Caenorhabditis elegans: one gene and its partners. The protein of the gene in region 2 interacts with the protein of the main gene of each other region in a pairwise test. Each region holds a gene or a part of one and is shown on either strand. Other genes may lie near its edges.

Region 1 (4,131 bases), on a different chromosome or scaffold from region 2:
GTCTTAAAAACGAATAACTCAAATTCCACGTTTTTAAAATTTTAAATATCACCATATTCTACTTCATCATAATGATAACCAAAATCGTACTATTCCTGCTGTTGTGCCTCTCGGCCTGTAATGCCTATACCTATCGGTACGATTATTGCCGTATTGCGTGTTCTGAACTACGTCCAAAAGCTGAAAGACCAAAATGTGCGGAAACTTGTGATAAAGATGTGAGAAGTGATGGTTGGATTGCAAACTGCGCTGGAGCAAGAAGTCCGGAATCGTGTTGGGTAAAAAAAAGTTGTACCGACTGCTTGGTGAATGGCAGAAACGTTTATAATACATGATTGTAATTGTTTCTGAGAATAAATTTTCATAATTTGCATTAATATTGACACTTTTTCGACAGAGTCAAAAAATTATCCATTCCAGAAGTTTCTCGAGCTTATGAGACCTGTTCAATGAGCAGAAAGAAAAAAATTGAAGGAAAATTTGAATTCCGGTTGAAAACCCAAACTACTCAGCCATTTTATTAAAAATCATTCAAAAGTTTAAAAAAATTAATCCTTCTTCTCTGATTTCTCATCCAAATCCGCCTCATACTCCAGGAATTTTCTGAAAAAAACGTATTTTTTTCAATTTTTCAAAATCCCTAAAAACATACTTTCGAATTTCGTCTTTCAAATCATCATCCACGTCATAATATCCACGATATCTTCCAGCTGAATAGGTAAATAGACGAATCACTAGGAAAATGCCAATTGTGTACATTATCACAATCACGATTTGGAATAAATTCAACAATTCACTCAGAGTTGGCTCTTCTTTTGATGTGAAATCACGCATTGAGATTCTGAAGTTTGGAAATGGGTTGGAAGGGCTACAAACTACAAACTACACACTAGAAACTACAAACTACAATTTCCTTAACACGTATTTCACTGATATCGGTATTGTGAAATTAGGTGAGAAATTTGAAATTTTGGAAAAGCCTCAATATGTCTCGAATATGACTTTCAAGCTACAAAATTCAAACTACAAACTACATACTACAGACTACAAACTACAAACTACTATTTCCCTAACACGTATTGCACTAGTATTGGTTTAGAGAAATTAGGTAAGAAATTTGAAATTTTGGAAAATTGCCAATACGTCTCGAACATCACTTGCAGGCTACAAACTACAAACTACAAACTACAAACTATAAACTACAAACTACAACTTCCATAAGACTTATTGTACTGATATCGGTATTGCGAAATTAGGTGAGAATTTTGAAACTTTGGAAAATTGCTAATATGTTTCTAATATGACTTGCAAGTTACAAACTACAAAAAACAGAGTGCACACTACAAACTACAAGCTACAAACTACAAACTACAAACTACAAACTAACTACAGACTACAACTTTTTGAGTTGCAACCCCAAATTGTGGTTTGTAGTCTCAGCAAGCTTGTTCCTCCCAGTTGTAGTTTGTAGTTTGTACTTTGTAGTTTGCATTTTGTAGTTTGCATTTTGTAGTTTGTAGTTTGTAGTTTGTAGTTTGTAGTTTGTAGTTTGTAGTCAAACTCACATGAACCGAGTTGTAACGAATCCCAAAATCAACATAACACGACACCCATAAACAATAATTGCCACTGGATTATCCTGAAATATAATTATGTTGGGTGAGGCTCAGACTACAAACTACAATTCTGCGCTCAGCCTCAACCAACATTGTAGTTTGTAGTCTGAGCTTCAATCTCGGGGTTTTACGGTTTTTTTGAGTGTAAATGAGGAAATTTTGGATTTTTTTTTTGGTAATTATGGAAATCGTAGGCTTTTTTATTGATTTTTTTGGGAAAACAGCTTCAAAATTTCAGATTAAGAAAAAAAATTTCCTAAAATTTAAGTCAAAAATTTCAGATTTTCTCAAATTTTCCGCCAAATATACTCACACAAATCGCCAAAACTGCGGAAATTGAAGTAACCAGTGAAATTCCGTGAAAAATCGCCCAAAATTGGTCAAAAGTGTCGTGGAACTGCAGGAAAATTGGGGATTTTGAGGGGAACTTTCAGGAGAAAAACTTACGAAAATGAGGAAAAGCTCTAAGCCAAATGAGAATAGAGTTAGGGTAAAGTCAAGGATCTGGAAAATATTTGAAATTCAAAAAAAAAAGTGAAAAAAACGTTTTGAAATTTTTGAAAAAAAAAAAAATTTTCCCAAAATTTTCAAAAAATTTTTTAATTCCAAAATTCCAAAAATTATCCCAGAACACTTCCAAAAATTACCATAAAAATGGCAAAAGCCAAAACGACATGAGAACAGCAGAATACAGTGTAGTTTGCATCGTTCGGTGAGCCCAACTCCATCAGAAAACGCATATTTGATTGAAAAACTATTTATTAGTATAAAGTGACCAATGTTTTGAAAAATAAATGAAAATGATTACAATTTGAAAGAGTTGTTGGATTAATAATATTAAAAGCACACGTAGGGAGTTTAAAATTGAAGAAAAAAAAATTATCACGTTAAAAAATATAGAATTTTAAGACTTCTTCGGTCCATAATTATTATCACTTAAAATTTGCCGAGTTAAATTATTAATATGTCGAAAACGATCGGGTCCAAGATGAATTCCACCGTACCAACGTGAAACGACGACCTGAAAGAAGAAATTGGTTGAGGCTCAGAGACTACAAACTACAAAATTGGAAAATTTTCAGTTTTTTAAGCATTAAGATTTTTAATATGCAAAAATCAATCTTTTTTCTTACAAAAACATTTTTTCTAATGAATTTGAACAATCTTGCTATTTTCGACTACAAGTGGTGTCAGGCTGTCTCATTGCGGTTTGATCTACGAAAAATGCGGGGATATTTTTCCAGAAAAATTGTGACGTCAGCACGCTCTTAACCATACGAAATGAGATGAGATGTCTGCGTCTCTTCTCCCGCATTTTTCGAAGATCAAAACGAAATGGGACTTTCTGACTCCACGTGCGACTACAAACTACAAAAATATATTCTGGAAAAAGGCTCAGGACCACTACAAACTATAGTTTCTTGACTACAAACTACAAACCAAAAAAAAACAAATTTTTTTTGAGAAATTTTGGAATTTCGGTGAGGTTCAGATACTACAAACTACAAAAAGCTGAATTTTATCGGTTTTTGAGTATTTTTTGAACTAGAATTTGAATTTTTTTAAAAACCCATAAAAAAATTCGGATTTCACAATTTTTGATTTAAAAAATTTGTAGAAAATTCTATTTTTACAGGAAAAAACCGTTAAAATAACTATGGAAATTTGGGTGAGGCTCAGAGACTACAAACTACAAACCCCGGCTCAGCCTCACCAAAAATGGAATTTCAGGGTGTGTTTGAAACTAAAATTCGAATTTTTTCGAGTTTCAAATTGAAAATAATTACGAAACTCAGAAAAATTAATAAATTTTACTTTTTTGCGAAAAAAAAACTAGTAGAAAATCCTATTTTACCGCTAAAATCCGTTGAAAAGCTACGAAAAATGGGTGAGGCTGAGAGACTACAAACTACAAAATGCTCCGAGCCTCACTCAAAACTTGATTTTAGGGTGTTTTTCAAAATAAAATTCGAATTTTTTGAGTTACACATTGAAAATGTTCACGAAACGCAAAAAATAACGAATTTCACTATATTTTTACAGAAAAAATCTGTTAAAAAACTAAAAAAAAATGGTGAGGCTAAGAGACTACAAACTACAAAAAGCTGAATTTTATCGGTTTTTGAGTGTTTTTTGAACTAAAATTCGAATTTTTTTAAAAAGAAACCCAAAAAAATAACAAGATTTCTCAATATTTTTGGAAAAACCAGTGGAAAAGTTTATTTTTACAGGAAAAAACCGTTAAAATAACTATGGAAATTTGGGTGAGGCTCAGAGACTACAAACTACAAACCCCGGCTCAGCCTCACCAAAAACGGAATTTCAGGGTGTGTTTGAAACTAAAATTCGAATTTTTTCGAGTTTCAAATTGAAAATGTTCAAGAAACGCAAAAAAATTAACGAATTTCACTTTTTTACAAAAAAACTAATAGAAAATTCAAAAATTGGGTGAGACTCAGAGACTACAAACTACAAAACCCCCTGAGCCTCACTCAAAACCCGAAATTCATCGTTT
Region 2 (3,573 bases):
GTCACCGCGCGCGTCGTACAATCAAGTGGATAAGTGACAGAGGGCTCCCTGTTCCCGACTCGCCTGCCTGCTCCCCGGACATAAACATAATTTAAAACGTTTGGGGATTCATGATGAGAAAGATTTACGATGGAAACAATAGCAATGTTAACGACCTCAAAAGAGCAATTCTTGACGCATGGCATAAAGTTGACCAAACTCTCCTGGACAATCTTTAACTTTTCATGGATTCACGCGTTTTTGATGTGATTAGTACAAGAGCTCATCCCGTGGATTATTAATCATCTCTTGTTCCTTATTTTTCTAAGTTTTCCTACTTTTCTACCACCTGGCCGTATCATTTTGTGGAGTTTTTTAAATAGTTTTTCATGAAAAAATGTTTTTTTTTCTTTTTTACGAACGCTTCGGGTATATTTCCATCACTTATCTCAAAGCTAGCCAGTACAACGAACATTTTCACATGAAACTATGTTTTGCTATCTTAACCCAGTTTTGAGTTATACCAAAATTTAGGGGTGGCCGTATCATTTTGTGGAGCACTGTATATAGATACGAACAAAAATTAATTTAAAAAAAAACATCAAGGAAAGTTTCATTAAACCGAATCATTGAATCGATGACTGCGAACTTTGAGTACTTGATGGTTCCTCCTCAATTCTAACAAATCGATTCCGTTGCTGGGTGTTGACGTATCTGGAAAAATATCTGATTAGCTTATATACAAGAAAAATTTTCAGAAAGAAATACTTTATTGCGCACGTTTTGTAGTGCTAAACTGATTTTTAAACGAAATTCTAAAATACCTTATGTCGAAATGCAGACCATCCTGGGTGCTGGAATCAATTGGACACAGCCATAATCCCCATCCAAACACTGATTGAAAATTATTATATTTCCCCATATTGTAGTCAGCTGCATTATCAAATCTTAGAAGAGCTGGTTTTGTTTGTTCGACAGTTGTCTCGTTCAATGAGATCAATTGATAATGGAATATGATAAGTTCACCGAGTGGATAGTAACCAAACACTCCGCCGACAATAAAACTGAACAAGTAGAACAAAAACTTTCCCAATTCATCGGTCCATTGTTGATTGATAAAATATCGAACAGCACCTTCTAGTGAAGTGAGCAAATACCAATAAACAAGAAAACTGGTGTAGATAATGTAGAGTAGAAAGTACTTGTAATTGACGTGTGTAACACACATGTTTATCCATGGACAGTGATGATCATACTTAATGCAACACTTCCCACATGAGCTACAATGTCGGGCACGATCCGGTTTGATATGTCCGCACTCGTAACAATACTTGAGCCTTCCCACTTGATCACATTCAGCGACGACTACTTTACAGTAAGTACACATCTCCTCCAAAATAGTATTTTGTTGTGCAAGCTGAAAACTTTGTTGGTGTATTATATAAAGTGTATTTAGCATCCATAAAATAAACAAATAATAATAAAAAACAAAACAATCAAGACAAGATTAAACCACTTATTTTGATTTTTTCACTTTACCTGTTCAGGTGTCGATTTCTCTACCACGTATCGATTTTTCTCCATCGGTGTGACTGCTTTCAATCTATCTTCAAGTTCTTTACTAGGTCGATATCTTTCTGGAACTCTGCCAACTCTCGTGAACAACGTTTTTGCAAGACTCCACATTGACATAACAAACAGAAATGATCCAACAATCAAATAAATGGTTGCTTGAATTGTTGACTGAACGTAATAACCAATTGTCACTGTCACGTACATATAAAGTCTGCAAAAGACCCAGTTAAATGATTCGCAAACAATCAAGAATGACTCACGACCACCAGAGCAAAATAAGTTGAATGAAAAGAAGTACATTGAGACATCTCGTCAAAATCCATCCAGTGATTTTATGTTTAGCGCGGTATTCTCGCACTGCTACGTAAATCTTTGAATACCATGACATTGGTTTTCACTTTTAAATTTCTTGTCTAAATCATATAAACTTTATTTGGTTCAAATCATGTTCAAAAGAACTTACCAAACGACTTCCAAATGCAGAAATGATTGAGAAATATTCAAAAATTGTAAAAAATGTACTGCTGGATTGCGTGAAGTTTTATTTCATTTACCGCAGGAGTAAAAAAATACCGTGGCATTTAGAAATAATGTTTTGTGAAAAAAATTTATGGGACTTTATTTGTTGCTGATTATCGAAGAAATTATTTGGAAGTTAGAAGTAAATTATTTCAAGCATTATTATTATTTATTGTGAAAAAAATGAGAAAATTGTGTCATATATACAGAGAACTGATGTCAAAGTTACGCATTCGATGTCTACTTTCTCTTGCAACACTGTCCATTTCCACATGGAGAATAGTTTTGCTGGCACGAGCAGGAGTTGACTGATTGTGTCTGGCATGGCATCTGGGCTGGTTGAGCAGCAGAACAGGATTGAGAGCATGATTGGGTGCAAGCTGGAGCACATTGTTGCATTGGTTGTTGCTGCTGAACGCATTGCTGTTGGCATGATTGCTGGCATTGTGGTTCACATTGTGCAGATTGGGAGACTGAAGCTTCCAGAATGATTGTGACAGCTTGTGGAGCAGCAGTAGTGGCAACTGGAGCTTGGCATGCAGATTGGCATTGCTGGCATTGTGGAGCAGATGGTTGCTGGCACTGTGGAGTACATTGTTGTTGGCACTGTTGAGTTTGTTGGCACGAAGTCTGACATTGTTGGCAAGCTGGTGCAGATTGCTGTTGACATTGTGGAGCACACTGTTGCTGACAAACTGGAGCAGCTTGTTGGCAGGTATTCTGGCACTGCTGGCACTGTGGAGCTGATGGTTGTTGGCATTGTGGAGCACACTGTTGTTGGCATTGTGGAACTGCTTGCTGGCAGGTGGTCTGGCATTGCTGGGTGCATTGCTGATTGCACTGTTGGGCTGGAACTTGTTGTTGAACACATTGTTGTTGGCATGATTGCTGGCATTGAGGAACACACTGAGCAGAGATTTCCATGTTAATCTTGATTATTTGTGGAGCGGCAGTAGTGGTTGGAGCACATTGTTGAACACATTGTTGCTGACATTGTGGCTGACATTGTTGAATTGGTTGAGTTTGAACACATTGCTGTTGGCACTGTTGTTGGCATTGTGGCACGCATTGAACTGCAGCTGGAGTCTGGACAACACAGGATTGTTCACAGGCTGGCATGCAGGATGGTTGACATTGAACTGGAGCTGGAGTAGTTGGAGTATAACAGGAAGAAGTCTGACAGCTTTGTTGGCATGTAGATTGACATTGACTAACAGATGGAGCAGATTGACATTGGTTCTGGCAAGACTGCTGACAAGCTGGGGCACATTGAGAAGCTTGAATTTGGTAGGTTTGTTGCTGAACTGGTTGGGCACATGAACAGGATTTCTGGACTGGAGCAGTGTTCTGACAGGAACAACTGTACTGTTGTGGTTGAGTATAGGTGGTTCGTTGGCAAGAGCAACTTGGTTGAACTCTTGGAGCACAGCCACAGGATTGGCGTTTATCGCGAATTGTTGTTGCCTGGAAATGATTTTTGTGAAATTTGACTGAAATCGT
Region 3 (5,748 bases), 1.4 Mb from region 2:
CCATGCGTTTGGATAAATCCACCACGCCAGGGAGTCTGAAAAAGAGAAATGTCCAATCATAGAAAAATAAATAAACGTCAACCTTGAACTGAGCTGAAAGGGGCCCAAATCGTGAGTTTCAAAATGGATACTGTGACAATGAAGAAAATGGTGGACAGATATCCGCATGCAGCACCAGCTAATCTCTTTCTAACACTGATTTCCGCTTGAAACCAATCCACGATTTGATCGAAAATTGTGATTGGCTTCTGTTGAACACGCGGTGAACTGACTGTGCGGTTTGGGGACCTTCGCAAGTTTGGTGAAGATGATGAACTGCTTGCAGCGGGAAAATCGTTCTTTCTATAATTATTCTCATTGTATGAATCTTTACTTAATTGATACCTTCTTCCCGGAGAAAATTGATTATATAGATGTTCATCTGTCGTTGTTGTGAATGAAGAATGACTATCACCCATCATTTCTGAAACAATAAATCAGTGAATTAGAGTTCCAAACGGGAAAACCCATAAATAACAAATAAAATGAAGTTTAAATGATAATTTATTTGAATTCAATTGGAAAATAATCATTGAAGTTCGAGGAAATAATAAGAAAACTAATAAATGAACGAAATCATTTCGAAAACTGCGCCAAAAGGCAAATAAATTTGAACTCGAAAAGTACATTGTCATTGGAGCGCGCTTTCCCCAACGGCGGGAAAGTTAATTTTTCAAACATCATTCAGACGACAGTGGTTACTGCGGTGGTGGTTGTTCCTTCTGTTGGTTCTTTGTCAGGTTCGTCGTCTTCGCGTTCACTCAATGAAATATCTGGAATAGATGATTATTAATGTTTAAATAAAGTTAATTTTACCTGAGTCATCAATAATTGCGTTACTCTCCTCATAGTATAGCTCAATCCCGTTAATACATTGCATTTCCTCCTCGCATTTCACACAGAAAAGAGTCACTGAGAAACAGTTGATACAGTAAAAAGCACTACAATGAACACACACTCGCACATTTCTGAATTAATAGCTTTGTTTTCTTGATCATCAATAAACAAAACTAACTCTTGATCAGACACTTTCATATCGTACTTTTCACATTTTACACAATCGGAGCACACGAATCCACGACTTTGCATTGTTCTCCGAATTATGACATCTTCACCACCCACTACATCTTTCTGTCAATTATCAATGTTACGAGTGCAAAAATTACTTTTAAATCAAATCGGAATGTCAAATTCAGGAAAAAATATATCTGTTTTTGAATACTATCAATTCGCAAAATCGGGATTTATCACTCAAAAAATACGGTACCGGTGACGTAGTGATGTAGTAAGTAGTACTGTAGTGGCTAACTTTTTTTCAATGTTTAAGTTGTGAATATCGAGGAATTGAAAATATTTCAGTCAACTCGAGACCGGAAATTCCCATTTACCTTATTATTTCCTAACATTTCTGTCAGCAAATTTCGTCGACTTTGTAAAATTTTGTTATAAAGGCTCAATGCACGAATTCTTACTCGATTCGGAAAGAAGTAATCTGCCAATACAAGTGTTTGCCTTCCAAAATATGCCTTCAAAAATTAAATATATCTTAACAGTACTCCTCAACTCTTCAAACCTTCAATCGACAAAGAAAAAGTGCAGCGATAAACATGAGAAACATCACCATATTTTCTGTATAGTTTGGAGGATTTGGTTCGTTGAAACATCGTCTCCAACGATTTTCACGGTCTCGAATACTTTTAGTAAATGGACTGAAAACATCGAGAAATTCATTCATCACATCTGACATTGAACTATTTCCAGCAACTTTCAATTCATAATGAGCAGGAGTATCGATATTTGTTCGGTTCATTAAAGTATGAACAGTTGATAGAGTCTGAAACTTTGAATCTATAGATTTGAAGTCAATATAATTTTATTCATTTAATTACCGTAAATATACCATAATCAAGCATACACATAAAGAAAGGAGTGACACAACTGACAATTGTGATGAAAATATCTAATCGAAATTTAGGTCGCTCTTGTTCTGTCATTTTCCACTGACCTCGACTGACATACTAAACGGTGTCTAAGATTTTTAGAATGATAATGAACCAGAGAAACCTACCTGCTTTGATTCATTTGCCATTAATGGCATGACTTTACGAGCTCCGCGAAATGCACAATCTTGATCAATTTTTGTAAATTCTTTTGTGAGAAAACGGTTTTTAAAGTCGTCATTATAGTTGTAGTTATACATGAACCGAAGTGTCTGAAAAATATCAGTTCAAAATTTTGTATGTTAACATATTACTTATTTAAACTCACATAGATGAACGGCCATATGAGCAATCCTGGCATGATACAATATCGAAGAATAAATGAAATTATATTGATAATCCGTATGTATACATTCACAATTCCCATCAAACTTTTCTTTATACTTGCTCTCAAGTTTGCAGTTGTATCATCTGCAGCATTTGGTTTACCATCATCAGATGACTGGTATTCAGCTCGAATGTTTTTCGCCTTTTTTATCTCTTCTATCACTGGATTCACTTTCTTCAGTGCCCATTTTGCTGCTTCAATGTGTACGTAGAAAATCTTTTTCACCGCGAATTCAATTGCTTGAAAGTAAGCTGCATAAAATGGTACAGCTGCTCCTTTAACTCCTTTTCCAATGATAGAAGGTAAAGAACATACTTCCGTTGAGAAACCCTTTGCTTGATGGCAAATCTTAATGTTTTATAATAGGATTGATATGTTGACTGATTGAATACCTTTGCAGTTTTCTGAATCATTTCACAAGCATCGCCGTGGCTTCCAAAAAATCGAGCTTTCCCCTTACAATAAAAATATGCGTCGTCGAAAATATCAAGACATTTTGTATAGGGAGTTTTGAGCATATTTCGACATTGATTTGACAAGTTGGCTATAACTCGATAATGTCGCCTCATGATGTCCACAAATCTTAATTGAAACAATATCAATTTAATCAAATTACAAGAATTTGACATTTTGGGTATCCCAATTGCAACTTACTTTGTCATCTTTTCATCTAGAACCAATAGCATTTTCTTGACCTTATTCATTGGACCAGATACATTTTGAAGAAGTGCACGAAACCGAGAAACAAGCATAGCTCCTTTATCCATTACATTCCCTTCCACATCATTTCTTGAACTCATAACATCAATTTGAACGCAGGCAACACCAGAAGCTACTTGATGAATATTTCCAATAACATTCATTGCAGGACCCTGAAATTAGTTTGAGATGTTCCCGTGAATAGATGAATTGATAAAACTTCAAAAGCCATTGTGACAAGAAGAATTAAAATTATGTTTTTGATTTTTGTAGTCAACATGACGTGGATAGAAATCATAAAGTACGTCATCATCTGAAACGAAATATTTTATTAATTCCACATAAAAATCCTGAAGTACTTACTTTTGGAAATATCAAAGTGAAAATCAGAAAAACGTGGATAATTGTGGATATGGAAGTTCCAATACTATATTGAAAATATTTAACTTTAGATTTAGGATATGATCTACTTACAACTCCGGGTATTGTGAATATTTGAACGACAACAGAAAATACATAACTATTCCAAATAATTCAATCATTAGGATGTTTCGGAATAGAAGTACAATAGAATTAGCTCTGGAAAAATAATTTTAAGATTTTCTTTTTTCTCAAAATAATTCCAAAAACCTTGTTCCATCTTCGAATAAATTGTCATAAATCCCATCATCTTTTTCCTTTTTCCATGGAGGATATAAAACGGACAACCATTTTTTCAAACGTTCAGAATATCTTAAAACTCGGTTTTGACCTGATTTTTCTCTGAAATTTTTCATGTGTTTGAACAAAATCCACACTCTAACCAACCGTCTGATATTATTAACCACAAATTGAAACTTTCTCACAGCTCGATTGGCTCGACGTTTTACATTCCATAATCCAATTAAGCCCATAGTTGATACAATTCAGTTAGATTTTAAAAAGGTGAAATAAATATTTTCACCATGATACGTTTTGAAAATTTGTGAACCGCTGGCAAACAGATTTGAGTTCACGTTTTGAACATTTTCTCCGAATTGGGAAACTGCAGGTGTCCCTTTTCTCGGCTTTGCTTACTAAAGAGCCAAGAGAGCCAAACGGATTGGCATTTGAGACCTATGTGATTCAATAGCTCATGTTTTGAAACGGTTATACGTGGAAAAGTTAGAATAAGGTTTTCAAGCAAAATGTGCCTACTTGTGTGCCTATGAAACCAATTATTTCGAATTTTTCAGAACTACGAGCTTCAATGGAACTATAGTATACACTAACTATAGGATATACATCTCTCGGAACCGCTGGCAACAATATTAATTTTTCAAACATTTGTGAACTGAATTACAGAATACACGTTACCAAAAGTACATCGATTGTTTATTTCTTTTTATCACCAGAAGTACATCTGATTTCGGAACAGGCGTTCACTAATTTTCGTTGCTTCATTGCAATGAAAAAAACGAGTTGCTTATCGTAATGCTTGTTATCATATCACTGTATCTATTGCCACTTCATATCTCATTTCCTCTTTTTGTAGGCCGATTTGGGTCAATCCGATATAGAGAACACCTATAAACAAACCCCTTTTTTTTCATTTTATGACGTGAACATTCAGATCCTCAATAAAACGGATGGGTGTGGTTATGTTCTTGTCCCCTCGAACACAACTTTTAATTGTATTTCTAATTCTCTGAAGAATTTCAGATTTCTGAAGAGAAGAATTCAATTGTACTGTCATTCCCGTCCCTTTTTGGGGCTTCCGACGCAATGTTGCCTCTTTTCAATAGATACGACGAATAAAAAAAAACAAAAAACAAAGAAAATGATTTTGCTTCCGATTGCTCACCAGGCTTCAATCTATACTGTACATTTTTCCCCAATAAATATAAAATTTGGATAGTAGAGAGACAGAAAATCAAAAAAAAATATATCGTAACTTGTATATTGTTCCATAAGAGAGACGCACAAAAGGATATATTTGATGGTGTGTGAAACCCGAAATCGTCGTGGTTACCCCCGTTGTCGGCGACAATTTCAACAGACTTTTCATACTGACTGGTTTTCGGTCGACAGTCATTTTTCACCCACTTTCAATTTGACTAAACTTGGTCAGTGTTCGGTTTTTCATTGGTTACACAACCTTAGATTTTTTATTCTTTGTGTTTGATCCCTGATTTGACTAGAAAACATTAATTTGCTTGTTTGATACTCAATTTCCCATGTGCCAGTTTAATTTTGACAGTTGTAGGAATTCCTGGTTTCGTTAAAAATTAGTATTTCAACCATTGATTTGTTTTTGAAGGTATCTGTTAATCTATCAAGAATTTATTGTAAGAAACCACAAACTCGCCAAAATCTTGGTTTTGTATTTATTTTTCATATTTATTTTTTGTATTATCTATTTTTTAAACTCACTTTCTTACTGACTTGGCTTACATAAATAAAACCGTTCAAATTAGATGATAGATGACTTTCAAGAACTTAAAATTGGCAGAGAGTTACCTTTTTCAAAATGATGCGTATAATTCGGCACAATTTAGTTTTCAACACAATACAACATAAACAAAAAGTAAACAAAATTTTTAAAAGTTCGTCAATTATCAATTTGGTCAATTGTACGTAGTAATTGAATCCTTCTTTCCATCAACCGTAACCATATTTCGACTTTTGCTTGCCCCTTTTCCGTTTAATTAGCCTTTCCTCCCA
Region 4 (7,636 bases), on a different chromosome or scaffold from region 2:
TTCAAATCCATTTCCAATCGTTTACGATCATAATTATTGACTTGCGAAGCCAAGAGGAGGCTGTAACAAAAGTTGGAAGGGCGGATTCATCGATGATCGACGACAGCAATTTGGAACTGGAATGGGAACTATTTGAATCGGGTGATGATGATATGATGGGGAATACGTATAGTTAGAGGAACATGTATGGGTATTGTTGCGTACATGCATACCTTATGATTGCCTACATGCCTACATGAAGGGCCTATCTCAAGTCTGCCGACATCCCTAACATCAACTGGCTGCATATATGCTTATCTGAAGCCGGCCTGCCTACCTGTTCGCCTGCCTATCTTGAGCCTGTTTGTCTATTTCTTACTGATCTTAAACCTACCTACCTCCCAGCTTGCCGATCCATCACATCGAAGCTGCTTGTTAGCTCGCCTGCCTGCCCACCTGCCTGCCTACCTCCTGCTCGTGCTTTGCTGTATTTTATCTATCAGAATTGAATAGCAAATAAATCACAAAAGTTCCAATTTCTCGATTTATTTCAGTTCGAAGTCATAATAAACACAATGGATACATAATTAATATTTTCCGCTTAAAACAAAAACTCCGATTGCTTCAGACACCGAGGAATGTGACGTCGCGAGCTCTCGGAATGCTAGCAGATAATTCCGAAGACATAACCTGTTTAGAAGATGGAACTGGAGAATCGATTCCAGTTCTAGCTAGAACCGGGTTGTTTTGAGGTTTGTCATCCTTCGGAGCCACTTTAGTTCCTGCATCAGCTGCAGCAGCTGGACCCGGTGTCTTACTCTTAGGCACATAATACTGGACAGTGGTGTATTCCTTGTATCCTTCAGCTTCCATGGTTCGAGATGACCTCATTTTGAATCCTTCGAAAGTGTTGTCCATAAGGAAGGAATGGGCTCCGGTTGTGAGGAATGTCACTCGAGGCGGTTGTTTTTCCTCTCTCTGAAAATTCCATAAATTATATGGAAATGCATGCCTGCCTGCCTACGCCTGCCTTATGTCTACACAAGTACCAACTGAGTTAGATACGGTCGTCGGTAGACGTTTTCAGACTACAATCGGAAATAGGCGGTAGGCAGGCACGTAGGCAGGTACGCAGAGTTGAGGGGGGCACGTAGACTTTGAGGCATACTTGTATAAGTCACGTAAATAGGCAGCCAAACTTAAGGTAGGCACAGGCAGGCATGTTTGAGGTGCCTGCCTGACTTTAAGGCCCACCCCTCTAGTACCCAGGCCTGCATGAAAAGCTCAACAAACCCAAAAATGTTATTCCTAAACCAGCCGTGGACCGCACCTCCGGCGCGGCCCCCGACTTCTGGGGCTGAAAACTAACTTTTCTGAAACTACCGTAACCCTACAGTATTCCTACCGTACCACTATTGTACCACTACAGTACCCCGACTATATCCCTACACTAACCCCAACTCACTATCCCCACAGAAGCCAAAACTTCACAGACTACAAAGACTACATAGACTACAAACTATGGACACACAGAATAAGCGCTTTATATATAGTAAATGAAATGGTTTCGAAATTTTCAAAGGCTGGTGCAAATGCGCGTAAACTTCTTTCCAGACCTACAGTATACCGCATGCCTGCCTACGCCTAGCCAAGCTTACATGAAATTCGGATCTCCAAATCGACTTGTACTTGCACTCCTTGGAAGCAACGAATCGAGCGAAAACCACCATCAGAAGTTGCTGAAAATACACAAAATTTTATGTGTCAGCTCATTGTACAAATAGGCAGCAGGCAGGTTCGTAGGTAGGCGTGCCTGCCTACAACTCAAGCTTCAGACTCACCATGTACTGCTCATCTGCTGCCTGATCCTCAACATCATCATTTGCCGGCTTCTCGCCCCACGCCGGTGAAGCATAGTATCTCTTGAGCTGAAAGCAGAGGTTTTTGAAAAATTCCAATTCGAATTCAACGTACCAAATTCCGATGCACAAAATGAGCAACTACAAGAATCAAATTAAGCGGTGGCGGAGCCGCCATTTCCCACGAGAGAAACTCGGAATAAATAGCTGCTCGTGTGAATTTGAACTCCATTTCCTCATTATCCAACACCTCATCAGCTCCTTTCACAAGTATCGATGTCATCAAATTGAGTACTGTAATTATCAGAATTCCGTGATAAACAGCAGCGAGAATTTCGAAAGTTGACGAGTTCAAAGTATGTTTCACAGGATCCATGTTTGGACCAGTGTTTCCAACAACTGTAGTGAATGTTGAGGGTCCCAAGTAACCGAAAATTGACCAGAACAGGTTTTTAGAGGATGTTCCAATTCTGAAAATATATATGTTGTCTCAGATAAAATATAGAAAAAAAGAACTGACGTTTCATAAGAATCCGTGGTCTTTGTATAATCCTGATCTCCTATTTTCATGGTACTTCGATTCAAGTATGGGTCGACGATAATATTCAATCCAACAGAAAACGAAACGATGATTGCGACCATGATGAGTATGTATGTGTACGTCTTCCCAACACATTTTCCGACAGATATCTGGAAAAATTAAGTTTACTGTAGGACTACTGTAGTGGTACTGTAGGATTACTGTGATATTACTGTGGAACGAGTGTAGGATTACTTTAGGATTACTGTAGGACTATTGTAAGATTATTGTAGTAGCACTGTAGGATTATTTTAATTTGGGAACAACTTAGTATTAGACATATGAATGAGTAGTGTAGGAGGACTGTAGGACTACTGTATAACCACTGTATACTTGCTGTAATGGCACTGTAGGACTACTAGGATTACTGTGTTGGGCACTGTAGTAGTATTGTAGGGATACTGTAGCGGTACGATGACTTGAAAATATTCAGTTTCCCGCTGCCAAAGCACACACAATAGACAGTAGGTAAGTATCTGGGCAGGCTGTCTGCCTATGTAGCTCAAGAGACTTTTTTTGTTTTTGCGGTCAAAACATCGAATTCTACGCGCAAACTCCACTTACAACAGATCCACCGATTGATTTCATCATCTGAGCATAGTAAAAACATTTTAAAATACTCAGCACACAGGCGATCGCAAGACATATCTCATGGAGAAGTGAGAATTCGAAAGATGGCTGAAAATTTCAACTAATTAATTATTCAAAAGATTTCAGCCGAACCCAGTGCATTCTGTCAACGGAACTCGGATCGAAAGCTTCTCGTTTTCCCCATTTTCCAGTAAAAAATATCAGTGAAAACAAGAAAATAAAGATCAAAGCCGCATCGAACCATCTCCACCAGAAGGCAAAAAATCCATCTCGTCCGACTCTATAGAATAGAATTCCCTTCTCCAGAGCTAATCCCATCACATAGGCGTACATGAAGATTTCGAGTGCTTGTACAGTTACTTCAACTGAAAAAATTTCAATTTCACAAAAAATGTTGTAAGCTTAAGCCCGATCTTAAGCCGAAGCCTAAGGTGAAACCTTAAGCCTAAGCCTACGCCTAACCCTAAGCCTAAGCTTAAACCTAAACCTAAACCTAAGCTTTTAACTATGAAAATTCAAAATCCACTTACTACTATCAGTCCATGCAAAGTAGAAACCGATTGTTGGACGGAGAATTGCGGCGATGAGGAAGACCAAGTACATTGTGATGTGAGCAATGAATCGAGCAAGTGGAACGCACATTGTTGTACCCTTTGTTGGCATAAATGCATGAAGCATCACAAGGAATGGCATCAGGATACAGGCTCGCAGAAAACGCCAAGCATCTCGTTTTGGCTTGATTCCATAGTTGTACCAGTCTGAAAAGTGTATGAGGTCAGCTATAAGGCCATTAGAAAGTCTATGGTAGGTAGGCACGATTACGCCTCATCATCGCCTACGGCTCGCCTCAGGACTTCACCCTCAAAAACAGTTACCTGATCTGAAGACAGACTTAATAGTTGTCTGTGAATTGGTGGAGCACGTGAATTGTCTCATTTGAGAATCCATAGCCATTTGAAGACGCGGTGATGAGATTTCAGTCATTCTTTCCGGGCAGTAGTTTCTCTGAAATTCAATTTAAATTCTCCCAATATCTAAAATTTAACACAAATTCTTACATTAGCAACCATCATATTGAACTCGTCGACTCTCCATGCTTGATCTGAAATTCTGCACAAAAACCGTTGCACATTCATCTCGAGGTCTCGATAGGTTTCCACGTATTCCAGCTGATCATCGCTCGCCAATTGTTGAAGGTCTCGGGCGACAGCACACGTGGCAGCGAACACGTCATCAGTTGCCAGCCACAGGTAGGCTTCAGAGGACAGTGCACGCATGACGTCGACGAGGCGAGTTGATGAGTGGGTTGTTACGGTTTCCCGTTTGCAGGTTTTGCATTCACCTGCAACACTTTACCATTTTTGCGCGTAGAATATGGTGCATTCGGTCCTACCGACGCATGTTCGCTCTTTTGCAATGTTTGCGCGTCAAATATGATGTTTGAACTCACAAGTAATGAAATGTGGTATCTGAATACAATGTCCTCTAGTTATAAGACACTGAACAATCGAAAAATTATTCAAAATGCATGCCAGCATCAGTGGAGTCATATGTGGTGGAAAATGTGGAGAATTAGCAGATCCTGAAATTAGTGTGATGCAAATGCGCTTTAATACAAACTTCCTCACACTTACCACTTCTTTCAAGGTATGGTGCATCGACGAAAAGTACGAGAACAAACTCGACTAGTGGACGACTTCCGACGGCAATCGATAATAGAAGAGCTTCCTGTAATTCAAAAGGGCGTTACAGGACGTAGGCAAGCGTATGTGTTGTAGGCGGGTGCAGGCTATCATAGGTGGATGTAGGCAAAGTAGGCGGTCGTAGGCGGTCATAAGCGAGTGTAGGCGGGCGTTAGCAAACCTTACCTGGTCTTGAGAGGTCTTTCAGGGGTGTAGGCCGGCGTACGCGGACGTAGGCGGATGTAGGCGAGTGTATGCGTTGTAGGCGGGTGCAGGCGTTCGTAGGTGGATATAGGCAAAGTAGGCGGGCGTAGGTATGCGTAGGCGGACGTACGCTTTCGTCGGTGGATAGCCAGCCTTACCGGGCCTTTAGGCCTTTAGGCGTTGGCTGCCGTATGCGGGCCGTTATCGGGCCATTAGAGGGTCTTTAGGGTGTAGGCGGTAGGTGGGCCGGCTTAGGCCGGCCTTTAGCGGTCTTTCAGGCGTTGACGAACTTTAAGAGATTCTTCAGAAGATGTATCCATTAGAAGACTTTGAAGAGAAGAAAGGCGACCATCGTCCGGGCCATGTGGAAGCAAAATGCCCAAAAAAGATCGTACTTCAGAGTATAATTTGCTTTTCACAGCCTTATAGAAGTAGGCCATGGCTTGCAGAACCTGAAATTTATCTATTTGTCCTGTAAAATCTGATAAAGTCCTGCGTACAACTTGATCATTTTCATGCCATTTCTGATGACCATCGTATCCTTCATTATTGTCTGCGTCTACACCTCTATATTTTCCAAGATACTCTTTTATTGCGCTGAAAAAATGTAAATTTGTTGATGAAAACTTGGGTCCTGACACGAGCGAAACATCTCGTCTACAGTACCCGATGGTTGGCGCCGTGGAAGAGGTTTCGCACGGCCATTCTCCCATTTCCAAGGATCCTTGCAAGGCGATTGAAAGCACTCACCTTAATTTTAGCCTCGTAGATTCCTTCTTTTCCTTTCCCACCATTTTTGGAAAACGAAAACCTTGAAATAAATATATTGATTTTTTTTCACTCCGACATTTTTTTCCACGTATCCCTCCCCCCTCAATCCAGAATATAGCGGCGGTAGAAAAAAGTTCACGCCAATTCAAAAATTAAAATGTTTCGTTTTTTATTGGAACACGGGAAACTTTTTTTTTAGTTTATCTTTTATATTTTTCAAAATCTAGATGAACGCAAACGCGCTCCACCGTACAAACCGAAAATTGCCCAGTCAGGAGATTTTCAATCAAACTACTATTCAGTACTAGAAAAAAGAGAGCATTTTCTTGGGCTCTATAGCAGTGACGCGCACAGTAACATGATCAAATTCTCCAGTCTCTTCAGTCTCAGTCATCTTCTGCGTCTCGATGGCCACATATGGTGCAGGTGTACGAAATCGCTGAATAAAATAAGATACTTAGAATGAACCGTTCAAGCCAAGAAGAATGCCGCCCCAAAGATCGCTCAATACCAGCAGATCATCGAGACCCTTGGATCCAGTTAAATCCATGAAAAATCTGGTTTGTTTGAGATAATAAAATTGTTTACAATCCAATCCAAAAAATTATTAAGAAACTTTATTTTATTGCCATAATCAATTTACTATATATAAAGCGCGTGTCGTTCTGTCCCTATGTAGTTTGATCTTTGATCTTTGGTCTTTGAACTCTGTAGTTTGTAGTCTCAATCACACAAGAGGGGTCACATAGGCCCCGCCCCTTTTGTGACGTCATCACAAATTGGCGGGAATTCAAATTTTCTGAGAAAATATTTTGGCGGGAATTCAAAATTTTAAATTTTGAAAACATTTTGGCGGGAATTCAAAATTTAATTTTTTGAAACCATTTTGGCGGGAATTCAAAATTTAATTTAAATGTGTCATATCAATTTAAAATGTCAAGGTACTGTAGTGTTTTAGGGGTACTGTAGGATTACTGTAGGGTTACTGTAGTTTAGGAAAAATTGATTTTTAAACATTTTAAGAGGTATTGGCTTGGAAGTTGGTAGATGGTAATGTCAAGGTACTGTAGTGGTACTGTAGGGGTACTGTAGGGGTACTGTAGGATTACTGTAGGGTTACTGTAGTTTAAGGAAAATTGAATTTTAAACTTTTGAAGAGGTGTTGGCTTGAAAGTTGGTGGATGATAATGTCAAAGTACTGTAGTGGTACTGTAGGGGTACTGTAGGGGTACTGTAGGATTACTGTAGGGTTACTGTAGTTTAAGGAAAATTGAATTTTAAACTTTTGAAGAGGTGTTGGCTTGAAAGTTGGTGGATGATAATGTCAAAGTACTGTAGTGGTACTGTAGGGGTACTGTAGGATTACTGTAGGGTTCCTGTAGTTTCAGGAAAATTGAATTTTAAACTTTTGAAGAGGTGTTGGCTTGAAAGTTGGTGGATGATAATGCTAAGGTACTGTAGTGGTACTGTAGGGGTACTGTAGGATTACTGTAGGGTTACTGTAGTTTAAGAAAAATTGAATTTTAAACTTTTGAAGAGGTGTTGGCTTGAAAGTTGGTGGATGATAATGTCAAGGTACTGTAATGGTACTGTAGTAGTACTGTAGGATTACGGTAGGGTTACTGTAGTTAGGAAAAATTTGAGTTTTAAGCATTTGAAGAGATATTGGGTTGGGAGTTGGTAGATGATAATGTCAAGGTACTGTAGTAGTACTGTAGGATTACGGCAGTTAGGAAAAATTTGAAAATAAAAATTAAAAAAAGATAAAATTTTGGCGGGAATTCAAATTCTAATTTTTTGAAAATAATTTGGCGGTTATTGAATTCCCGTGGAATTCACCTTTCGTGGTGAGACCCATCGTGGTGAGACCCGTCGTGGTGAGACCTTTCGTGGTGAGACCCTTCGTGGCGAGACCCATCGTGGTGAGACCCATAGTGGTGAGGCCTTTCGTGGTGAGACCCTTCGTGGTG

What was found.
Region 1: the proteins of spe-10 (region 2) and spe-38 interact in a two-hybrid assay, tested with the Caenorhabditis elegans proteins (one study listed by BioGRID).
Region 3: the proteins of spe-10 (region 2) and spe-42 interact in a two-hybrid assay, tested with the Caenorhabditis elegans proteins (one study listed by BioGRID).
Region 4: the proteins of spe-10 (region 2) and spe-41 interact in a two-hybrid assay, tested with the Caenorhabditis elegans proteins (one study listed by BioGRID).

Annotation. Positions count from the first base shown.
Region 1 is NC_003279.8:10,963,970-10,968,100, forward strand, and holds spe-38 (uncharacterized protein), read right to left. Parts: upstream 2,414-4,131; 5' UTR 2,345-2,413; coding exon 2,264-2,344; intron 2,121-2,263; coding exon 2,064-2,120; intron 2,014-2,063; coding exon 1,930-2,013; intron 1,640-1,929; coding exon 1,566-1,639; intron 842-1,565; coding exon 653-841; intron 604-652; coding exon 549-603; 3' UTR 503-548; downstream 1-502. Other genes in the region: impt-1 (Protein IMPACT homolog), read right to left, coding at 2,521-2,637.
Region 2 is NC_003283.11:10,382,717-10,386,289, reverse strand, and holds spe-10 (Palmitoyltransferase spe-10), read right to left. Parts: upstream 2,041-3,573; 5' UTR 2,018-2,040; intron 1,968-2,017; 5' UTR 1,943-1,967; coding exon 1,815-1,942; intron 1,766-1,814; coding exon 1,519-1,765; intron 1,397-1,518; coding exon 804-1,396; intron 694-803; coding exon 606-693; 3' UTR 550-605; downstream 1-549. Other genes in the region: pqn-2 (Prion-like-(Q/N-rich)-domain-bearing protein), read right to left, coding at 2,314-3,537. UniProt on the Caenorhabditis elegans protein: Involved in spermatogenesis, specifically in the morphogenesis of fibrous body-membranous organelles (FB-MO), which are Golgi-derived organelles used for transporting sperm-specific components, in spermatocytes and in their localization into budding spermatids.
Region 3 is NC_003283.11:11,733,010-11,738,757, forward strand, and holds spe-42 (Dendritic cell-specific transmembrane protein-like domain-containing protein), read right to left. Parts: upstream 3,988-5,748; 5' UTR 3,960-3,987; coding exon 3,874-3,959; intron 3,829-3,873; coding exon 3,697-3,828; intron 3,646-3,696; coding exon 3,541-3,645; intron 3,494-3,540; coding exon 3,430-3,493; intron 3,380-3,429; coding exon 3,287-3,379; intron 3,240-3,286; coding exon 3,022-3,239; intron 2,950-3,021; coding exon 2,760-2,949; intron 2,716-2,759; coding exon 2,308-2,715; intron 2,252-2,307; coding exon 2,108-2,251; intron 2,058-2,107; coding exon 1,929-2,057; intron 1,874-1,928; coding exon 1,613-1,873; intron 1,566-1,612; coding exon 1,428-1,565; intron 1,171-1,427; coding exon 1,055-1,170; intron 1,008-1,054; coding exon 856-1,007; intron 813-855; coding exon 724-812; 3' UTR 531-723; downstream 1-530. Other genes in the region: npp-22 (Nucleoporin ndc-1), read right to left, coding at 1-35, 83-342, 385-461.
Region 4 is NC_003281.10:3,438,502-3,446,137, forward strand, and holds spe-41 (Transient receptor ion channel domain-containing protein), read right to left. Parts: upstream 5,707-7,636; 5' UTR 5,690-5,706; coding exon 5,646-5,689; intron 5,493-5,645; coding exon 5,396-5,492; exon of another isoform or gene 5,348-5,395; coding exon 5,186-5,347; intron 4,738-5,185; coding exon 4,644-4,737; intron 4,592-4,643; coding exon 4,460-4,591; intron 4,352-4,459; coding exon 4,068-4,351; intron 4,015-4,067; coding exon 3,885-4,014; intron 3,768-3,884; coding exon 3,540-3,767; intron 3,375-3,539; coding exon 3,142-3,374; intron 3,097-3,141; coding exon 2,983-3,096; intron 2,529-2,982; coding exon 2,359-2,528; intron 2,309-2,358; coding exon 1,954-2,308; intron 1,908-1,953; coding exon 1,821-1,907; intron 1,719-1,820; coding exon 1,638-1,718; intron 958-1,637; coding exon 604-957; 3' UTR 510-603; downstream 1-509.